Drosophila melanogaster: one gene and its partner. Changing the gene in region 2 together with the main gene of any one other region gives a genetic interaction. Each region holds a gene or a part of one and is shown on either strand. Other genes may lie near its edges.

What was found. A genetic interaction does not mean that the proteins touch.
Region 1: of grp (region 2) and RacGAP84C, changing one enhances a phenotype caused by changing the other (phenotypic enhancement), as found in Drosophila melanogaster (one study listed by BioGRID).

The regions. Positions count from the first base shown.
Region 1 is NT_033777.3:7,283,965-7,288,181, reverse strand, and holds RacGAP84C (Rac GTPase activating protein at 84C), read right to left. Parts: upstream 2,221-4,217; 5' UTR 2,078-2,220; coding exon 1,758-2,077; intron 1,622-1,757; coding exon 814-1,621; coding exon of another isoform or gene 790-813; exon of another isoform or gene 731-789; intron 694-730; coding exon 667-693; 3' UTR 553-666; downstream 1-552.
Region 2 is NT_033779.5:16,678,368-16,683,098, reverse strand, and holds the start of grp (grapes), read right to left. Parts: upstream 3,046-4,731; 5' UTR 2,823-3,045; intron 2,650-2,822; exon of another isoform or gene 2,449-2,649; intron 2,394-2,448; exon of another isoform or gene 2,381-2,393; coding exon of another isoform or gene 1,655-2,380; exon of another isoform or gene 1,446-1,654; intron 1,281-1,445; exon of another isoform or gene 1,201-1,280; coding exon of another isoform or gene 733-1,200; exon of another isoform or gene 697-732; intron 597-696; exon of another isoform or gene 481-596; coding exon of another isoform or gene 7-480; exon of another isoform or gene 1-6. Other genes in the region: CG33552 (uncharacterized protein), read right to left, coding at 7-480; CG31807 (uncharacterized protein), read left to right, coding at 733-1,200; squ (squash), read right to left, coding at 1,655-2,380; her (hermaphrodite), read right to left, coding at 4,124-4,456, 4,518-4,731. UniProt on the Drosophila melanogaster protein: Serine/threonine-protein kinase which is required for checkpoint-mediated cell cycle arrest and activation of DNA repair in response to the presence of DNA damage or unreplicated DNA.

The DNA of each region.
Region 1 (4,217 bases), on a different chromosome or scaffold from region 2:
TGAGTCTATTTATGCACTCGTCCAGTGCATTCGAGTTTTGTTTTGCTTTGCTTGTTTTTTGCATTTAATGGCCGCACTTTTTTGCACGGCACTCTCCAAATTGTTTTTAAAATGCTAACTTTTTTCTTGGCGCTTTAACTTATTTATATGTGTTCGCGGCAAAATATTTTACTTTGTGCTTTGGTTTACGCTTCAAAGAAACATAAATATGGGAAATGGAAATTATTAATTTTTTACATGTTTTCAACGGTTGGGAATTAATCAACGTTCGGCGAAAAAAATTGCAAATTCAATTAAAAATGTTTATTAATGTTTCAATACTCGAAATATATAGTTTTGCGATAACGTCGCTCTGGGCCATGCTAGATTATTTATGTGGTGCGAATAAGATTTTGGCCTGGCTTTATATTTAATTAGCCGAATTTCATATATGGAAATAATGGGTGTTTTCTGAGAGTATCTTTTGGTGATTCAATAAATCAAGTATTGCACTTGAGATGTCAAGTACTCTTGTTAGCCGCATATAATTCAACAACACATACACAACATGTTAGAGATCCAATTATTATTAGTTCTTCAACTGTAGTGAATAATGAAAAAAAATACAAAATAAAATAAAAAAGGGTGACTGCATCCATTCTCGATGTCTCAGTCATAAGACTTTCACTATAGGTGAGTACTGCTAAGGTTGACCTGAAACAGGAAGTATTCAGTGAAAGATTTGTATGATATGTTTGATTGCTTGTATTGAGTTTGGCTTATTCGAATATGAAATTCTATCCAAATCCGTTAAAGGGAAACCATAGGTCTTACCATTGATCTAAAGTAGGTCTTAACAGAAGACCATCCCAGATTGGACGAGCTGTCCCAGTGACGGTGATTGTACCGGTCCTCAAAGTCATAGGTGCTGCCCAACGAAGTGGGAAGGGGATGGACCTCCAAGAACTGAGACCAAAATCCGGCAGGCATCAGAAGTAGCACCTTCAGCACCCGCTGCCAAGTGACGACATTTTCGAGGGTTAGATCCAGATCTCCGAACAGAGTTGGAGCGAAGATCACGGCAAGATTGTTGACCGTCATGCGGACAGCAGGACTTTCGGCAATTTTCTGCCAGTGAAGCATTAAGTAGGCCAACGTATCCCTGTGAGCCTGATGCAGCTCCAGAACCGCTAAATATACCGCCATCTCCACAGCCAGACGATCTTCGTGCCGCGTGGCCTCCTCGAAATCCCTTCGGTGGTAAATGGGAATCAGAGGGTGAACCAACTGCCGAAGAAAGTCCTTAACACAACAGCACAGTGTGTGGGTGTCTTTATTGCCCAAATGCGGCGTGGACTTGCCACGCAGCAGCTTCCGACGCAGTCGTTTGCATTTCTCTCGGGTGGAGGACACCCGGTAGAGTCCCTCCTGCTGCAATCCCCGCGCCTCGATCTCCGTTACACAATGGACAATTAAGGCCGGCACCATGGGCGCCACCCGAGGCGCATAATCGCTGAGACATCCTCTCTTCGTACCGATTTGAGGCTGGGGGATGCAGTTCACCGTCAGCTGGCGGCAGCAACCGATGTGGCAGCGGAGCGGACACGCCCGACACCTCAGGCTGGCCATGGCGAAGCGGATCCTGGAAGAAGACCAGGGACACGCGGTTAGGGAGGTAAATGCTGGTCAGAGAGGGTTGGGATGTTATTTAACTTTTCATGTTTTCCCTGAATTCGAAATCCTCTCAGAAGTTCCACCATTCGGTGATTGCAACTCACCTTTTGCGGCAGTGTACGCAGTTCCCCACGTTGTAGTAGTAGGACTTAATCTTGAAATTGTGCTCCCTCAGCAGCCCCGAGTGGGACTGCGAGCAGAAGTCGAGTCCGTCCGTGGATAAGCCATCGCAGCCACTGGGATTCATGTCCACGCGATCCTGCAGCGAGTCCAGGGACTGCGATCCAAACATGCGGTAGTGCTCGCTGAGGTCATCGTAGGACCTGTACTCCCGCAGAAGCCTCCGTTTGTTCTGCATCGTGGGGCGAACGGGCGACAAATAAAGTCGATTTGAGGGCGTCCGACTCCCAGAGCCACTAATCATAAAGTTGGCGAATTGATTCAGCTGTTCTGGTCAGTTGGCAATTTCCGAAGAGAGGCCACTTCGGCTTGAGTCAGCTACGCAGAAGTTATCGGCTCGCTTCTCCGAATACTCGACCGAAATGTTTATTTACTCTTACGGTTTATTTGGAATCGGGTGAAAGCTGATAGCTTAAATAGTTCTGGCAGCACAAAAATTCGATCACCCATAGAGAGTGCCTACTGTGGGTCGTACATTTGTAAATATTTCTGGATAATTCATACACACATCTAGGGTGCTCCGCAGAAATTTAATGGGCGACTAAGGTGTTACTAAGAAATATCAAAAATGCTGTTTTCAATACAAAAAAAAAGTGAATCAAATTATTATAAACATTTTTTGTGCCTAACAATAACAGATATTTGCCCTGTCTTCTTCATATAAACAAGTCAGTGGTGATCTTTTTATATTTTCGATTCAATTAAATCGTTAAAGACAATCAATCACACCGAGATTCAATGTCACGATACAAAAGCTAAAAATCCCTAAAAACAAAAAGAATGTAGAAAATCGAACTAAAAAAACAATTTGCTAAAGTATCTATGAATTCTAAGCGCCCAGAAAATGGCTCAATGGCGCCGCTAAATGGATGAAAAATTCATGGAAAACCGTTTTGCGGCCACCAGACATAGAATGCAACCAGCAAAAATGTAGCACGAAAAAATGCTGCAGTTCATGTGAGGCCGGAACGTCAGAAAGCGAAAATGTTGAGTAAACGTGCTGCTAAAAAAACACAAAAATTAGAATTTAAAGGGACTTCGAGCTTGGAACTTTTGTGGAAAACGAAACATGGATCTGTCTGTTGATTTAATGGCATCATTGGCATTGATTTTTATGCGATTTTAAAGTTTGGATAGAGTAAAAACAAAATTATCATGGCACTTTTCAGTTTTGGGCTGTGAATTGAAGAGCAGCGCCAGCAAAATTAACGAGCAAGGCGGGGAATTGGATTTTTATGCTTTTTTGTAGTCGTTTTTTAGGCGTCAGCTGCATTGACGCCGGTGTGCCTATGTGTGCGTGAGCATTTGAGGGTGTGGGTTTAGGTGTGTGTGAGCTTTGGGCTGAAATACTAAGGATGGTTGCCACTGCCACATTGAATTCGTAGTTATTAATGCGTATTGAAATGCACACATTGCAGTGAGTGAGAGTGTCTCTCTCTGTGATTATGCGGCGTGTGTGTGGGCGTAGTATTCATAATTGCACTTGTGTGGGCTTCTATCTGTGTCCGACTGTTTTGTTTGTATTCAAAGTCCACAAATACGAGTCACGCATCGCAATAAGCCCATGCAATCCCCTGCCTCACTCCTCACTCCACTTTTCCCAAAATGCTTTTTTGTACTTTTTCTGATTCGCCTCTGACTGTGTGTGTTCAAATACGTGTGTGGCCCTATGTGTGTGTCTGTCCGTTGCGTATTCCAAAAAGCAAAAAAAAAAAGTACAGAAACACAACAAAACAGCATAAAAAATGTTTGGACATCCACAAAACATACAAAAAAGAGGGGAGTTCTGGGCAAAAACGAGTGGGAAAAAATGGCATCAAAGCACGTTGACAGTGTTGCCACGTGGTGATAATTAATTTTTCACACACAAAAGTTGATCAAAATGTTTTTATCCGGTGCCTCCAAAATTTAAGGAATTATTTGGTTGCATCGAGCTCAAAATATTTCAACTTTAAAGCTTCTTAACAGAATGAAAAAGTTTAACGCAATTGTTATAGATTCAGGATGTTGCTTAAAAACATCTTAGCACATGGTTTTCTGTACTAAAACCATGAAATCAGCAATTAATTAATTAAAAGTCTCAGATGTATATCATTTAGCTACTAGGGAACACTCTTAAAATATCCACATAGAAATAGAAATATTAACACCCACCAGTATGTGGGATAAAACTAGATATTCAAATTCTGAAAAGCTGGCCTACACATAAGATGACCAATATGATTTTAAGGACAAAAAATCAGTTCACTAAGTGACCTTTTGTGAATTGAACTATAAATCGCAAAACAACCTGTTAAAGAATTCCGCCTCAATCGTCGCTTTGTCTAACCCAATTCTAGTTGGGCACTAAAAACAACAATTTATAATAAATTGTATTTTTCAAT
Region 2 (4,731 bases):
TAATGTTTACTGTAATAATTCAGCCGTGCACAAATTTTGACCTGCTATAATAATGCGAACATCCATACAGCGGATCATCTGTGATTTGCAGATGGGGCATGTCTTGTTACGCTGCAAGTAATGTAGTATGCAATTCGCTCCAAAAAGGTGACCGCATTTAATTGAAACTGGGCGATGGTCTCCGGTAACCTCATAATTCCATTTGCAAATGTAGCACTTGTTCTCTTCGGCGATCTTCTTTCGTTTCATAGACAGGTTCTCCGCTTGATTCGCAATCGCGTCCTGCGCCGCTAGCCTCAGTCGCAACTCCTTCGTTATGTTCTTCTCCTTGTCCAGTTGCAGTCGCAGATCAATTAAACGCTTTTTGGACTCGAAACTATCCTTGATGATTTCGTCCTTTTCTTTGTTCCGTTTTCGCTGCTTAATGACCTCAACGATGAGTTTTTTCTTGGTCATCTTTGTAATATCTTGTTTATCCATCTCGTTTTCGATGTGAACGATTCGCAAATATTACAGTCGAGTTTTATTTTGAAATGGATTTTTTTTTTGACAGCTGTAAATATGTTGGCTGTGTTGGAAAATGCAACACACAACTAATTCTAATGATTACAAGAAAAAATAATTTTGTTCAATCTAGGCAGTCCACGCTTAAACCTTCACTGAGAAGACATTCGTTCTAAAAGTGCTTGTCTAAAAAATTCGTTCACCTTGTAATTTTAATTTCTTTACAATATGCCCAATAACAAAGCCCAGACTCGCTCGTTGATGAGGATGCTGAAGAAGGATGTTGTTGAGCAGCTCTTAGCGGAAAGGAAAAAAAGTGAGCAAAAGGACAAGCAACTGGCGAAGCTAAATATTACAACTCAAGAGAAGGATAAAATGCGCGAGGAGGAACTCAAGCTATATTACCAAATGGAAGAAGAGATAACCAATCAGAAATTATTGCAAGAGCAGTTGTTGTTCGAGTCCAAGGACGAATTAACACAGCAGCTTGAGAAGATTGCCATCGAAAATACTTGCTGCATATGCCTGGATCCTTGGGAAGCGAAGGATCATCACCGCTTGGTTTCGCTTAGATGTGGTCACCTTTTTGGGGAGATGTGCATCCGGACCCACTTGCAGCATGCCGATATGTGCCCAATATGCCGCAAAGTAGCTATTGAAAGAGACGTCTGGCGTGTGTTATTAAACACGCCATAAAATTATTTTCTATAAATACGATGTTCTAGCTATAATATAGTGCGTTGATAAGCGCGATCGATTTAATCGATAAACATAAATTTTAATACCTCGATTATATTTCCGACTATATTCCAATTTTTTCATATTTAGGAGGGGATACAATTGAATAATTACCAAATGGTTTGGGAAACATGCATTTGCAACAATAAATTAATATAAAAAAATTCATTTAAGGATATATTGAATTCTACAGCACTAACATTCCTTTCGCATTTAATTTATTAAAATAGATAAATATTTTGTTTACCCTATGATATCAAGTATTTTTCTTTCTATTTGTAGAACTGCATCCAATATAAATTCGGTTTTCTAAACGACGTTTAAGCCGTTTATTTACATGTTACAGAAGCTTATATATAAAAAGTGATTGATTTTTTGGTTCTAATAATTGCATTCCCCGTTGGTTCCTCCTTCATTCATTGAATTGGTTTCCAAATTGGACTGGTGATTCCACTTCCTGGTCGTAACTCTCCGCAAGCTGTTTGTAAGGTACTTCGAGGTATTTCTCCGACTTTGACGCCTTGATCTCGCCCTGCTTCTTGCTGCTGTCCAAATCTGAAGCGGCAGATTCATAAAGGCTGAAGGAACTGATTGAACTATTGGCAGTATGATACGAACTACTGGAACTGGAATTCTTCGTTCGGGGAATCTTGCGTGGTTTAAAAAATTCGGGGTCTGTGATGAGGGGAAATTGTTTCCGTCCGTTTCTTATAATTTTAATGGGTCCTTCTGGTGGTTTTACTTCGGGCAGAACGGGCAGCGAATCTGTTGCCATGGACATCATTCCGAAGTGACGCATCATGGCTAACGCCTCTAGCTCATTTGTGCTTTCATCCTCCCAATCTTTCATAGTGGCGTGCTCGCCCAGCGGCCTTGTGCCTGCTATCTTCTGTATGTTCTCCATTAGCTGAAGGCTTTGCCGAATATCACGACCAGTTCCGCCTCTGCTTCCATGGATATTTTCGAGCTCGGAATTCCTCTTTTCCCGGGACTTCAGATATTCATATGTGCATTTCGGTCGCGGCCAAAACTCCCCTTGCTTCTTCATGTCGTAGGCCAGTTGACCATGGACAAAATTGAAATCCGGCTCCATGTCGACCAGATCATCCTCGAACTGCGAATTGGGAACCCATGCCATGATCGTGCGTTGTCTTAGGCGAAATTTATTTGTTAATTTTCTGACATCAGACATAACCTAAAACTCACCTAACAAAAAATACTCCGAGAACTCGCCATGAAAACAATTGAACAGCTACACTGTCAACAAGTTCTCAGAATCTGAGACTGAATGTTTACTCCGTTATTTTCAAAGAATAGTTTCAGTGCGACCATTCACCATTGAGCACGGAAATGCCGTAAGAATTATTAAGGCTGTGGTGAATTTAAGTGCACCGGTGTGCGGTGAATCTTTTGCACACCGGTGCGTGGTCAAGGTGAATAATATTGCGCCAAAAAGTTAAACAAAAGGTTAAGGAAGGGGGAGCGGGGTGCAGCAAGCAAGTCATTAAATAAACAAAGGGTAATGCCCCACGAATCAGCATATATACATTCCTAATTTATGCACCACTATTCCAACTCACCAGCAGCGTCTTTTCCGGCCAGCGCGTTTTACTGTTGTTGCTACGTCTACACAAATTTGGGATTCTCGATTTGGATTATTAAACTTTTTTAATTCACTGCTTTGCAAGACACTATAACAGCGACCGTGCTCTTATTCACACTTGGAGTAACTGAAATGCAAAAAATTCCGCAAACGCTGCTAAAATATACTTTAGTTTGCGATAGGGCTGGAGCAAAACTGGATGCACAGTGCAAGCTATCGATTTCTCCAGTAAATCGCTGATATCGATGGTTATCCGTTTCGGATCCCAAGTATCGATCGTCGAAAATCACAAGGCACATAAATTTGTGATTTCAGTATTTAGCTGATTTTATTTGTATTTAGCTTAAAATCATTACAGTATTTAGCTGTTAATATTAAATACACTTTTTTAAATATGATTATTATCCGGTACTATAAATAGTCATATTTAAAATAATATATAATTATTGACTAATTGTTTTTAATTTTCATTGAATTTATTTTTTCTTCAATAATCGATCGTAGTGTAGACATTTTCAACACACAATTTATTGAATAACACAATTCCTAAAATATACTCGTTACTCGTAGAGTAAAAGGGTATACTAGATTCGTTGAAAAGTATGTAACATGCAGAAGAAAGCGTTTCCGACTATATAAAGTGTATATATTTATATATAAGTATATATTCTTGATCAGAATCAATAGCCGAGTCGATCTAGTCATGTCCGTCTGTCCGTATGAACGACGAGATATCAGAAACTTTAAAAGCTAGAAGGTTGAGATTTAGCATACATATTCTAGAGATAAAGACGCAGCGGAACCCATGTTGCGACGCCCACAAACCGCACAAAACTGACACGCCCATATTTAAAAAAAAAATTGTTGGATATTTTTCATAATTTTATTAGTCGCTTAAATTTCTATCGATTTGCCAAAAAACTTTTTGCCACGCCCATTCCAACGCCCTAAAGCCGCCAAACCGGTCACGCCCACACGTTTGAATTTTTTTTAAATTTTTTCACATTATACAATATTTATTAATATCCCAGAGGATTAAATTTCGCGTTCGCATTCACACTAGCTGAGTAACGGTTATATGATAGTCGGGGATCTCGACTATAGTATTCTTTCTTTTTTAAACTACTCCTATACTTGTTTTTGGGCTTAAATTAAAGGTTAATTAACTAGTTTTAAAGTACTTGGGATTTTCTTAATTCGTTTACTTTACACTTTAAATAGTAAACAACTTAATGGTATTCTTATACAAATACCAAAGGGATGATACATTTTTTATCATCAAGTTTGACTTAACGTGCCCTGTTTAGAGTACATGTCCTTGATTATCTGCATGCGAGTCATTCGAGTCGCGCACAGCCAGGAGTCCTTAATTTGAAATGCCTCGAACTGCTTGCGATCTTCCTTGAAGGGTTTGTAGTAAATGTCATAGATGATGCGCAGGATGCGTTGCACATTCTCCTGCGACGGCTTCTTTGAGTGCTTTGCAAATGTTTGGTTCTTTTGCATCTTTGTGTACTTGCCATCATCCCACCAATCTGGAAAATCTGTATCTGCATCGCCAGCTTTAAGGTCCTTCTTGAGTTCCGCTTTGGGACTTATGTGATGTACAGCCTTTAGTGATAAAAACATTGTTAGGAAAAGTTCGTTTTTTTCGTTTATAGTTCTTTCTTACATCCGGCGTACTCCAACTCCAAGCCAGATCGGTCAGCGATGATTGTTTTATTTTAACTGGTTCCTCTCCGCTCAGCATTGGCACAAGAAACTCATCCTGCTGATCTTCTTCGGCAAGGGACATGGCCAACTCATCGTCTAATTCGTCCATTTGCTGCTGGACAGAAATTGAAGTGCTCTTTATGGGCAGCTCCAATTTTGTTGGAGCTCCCGGC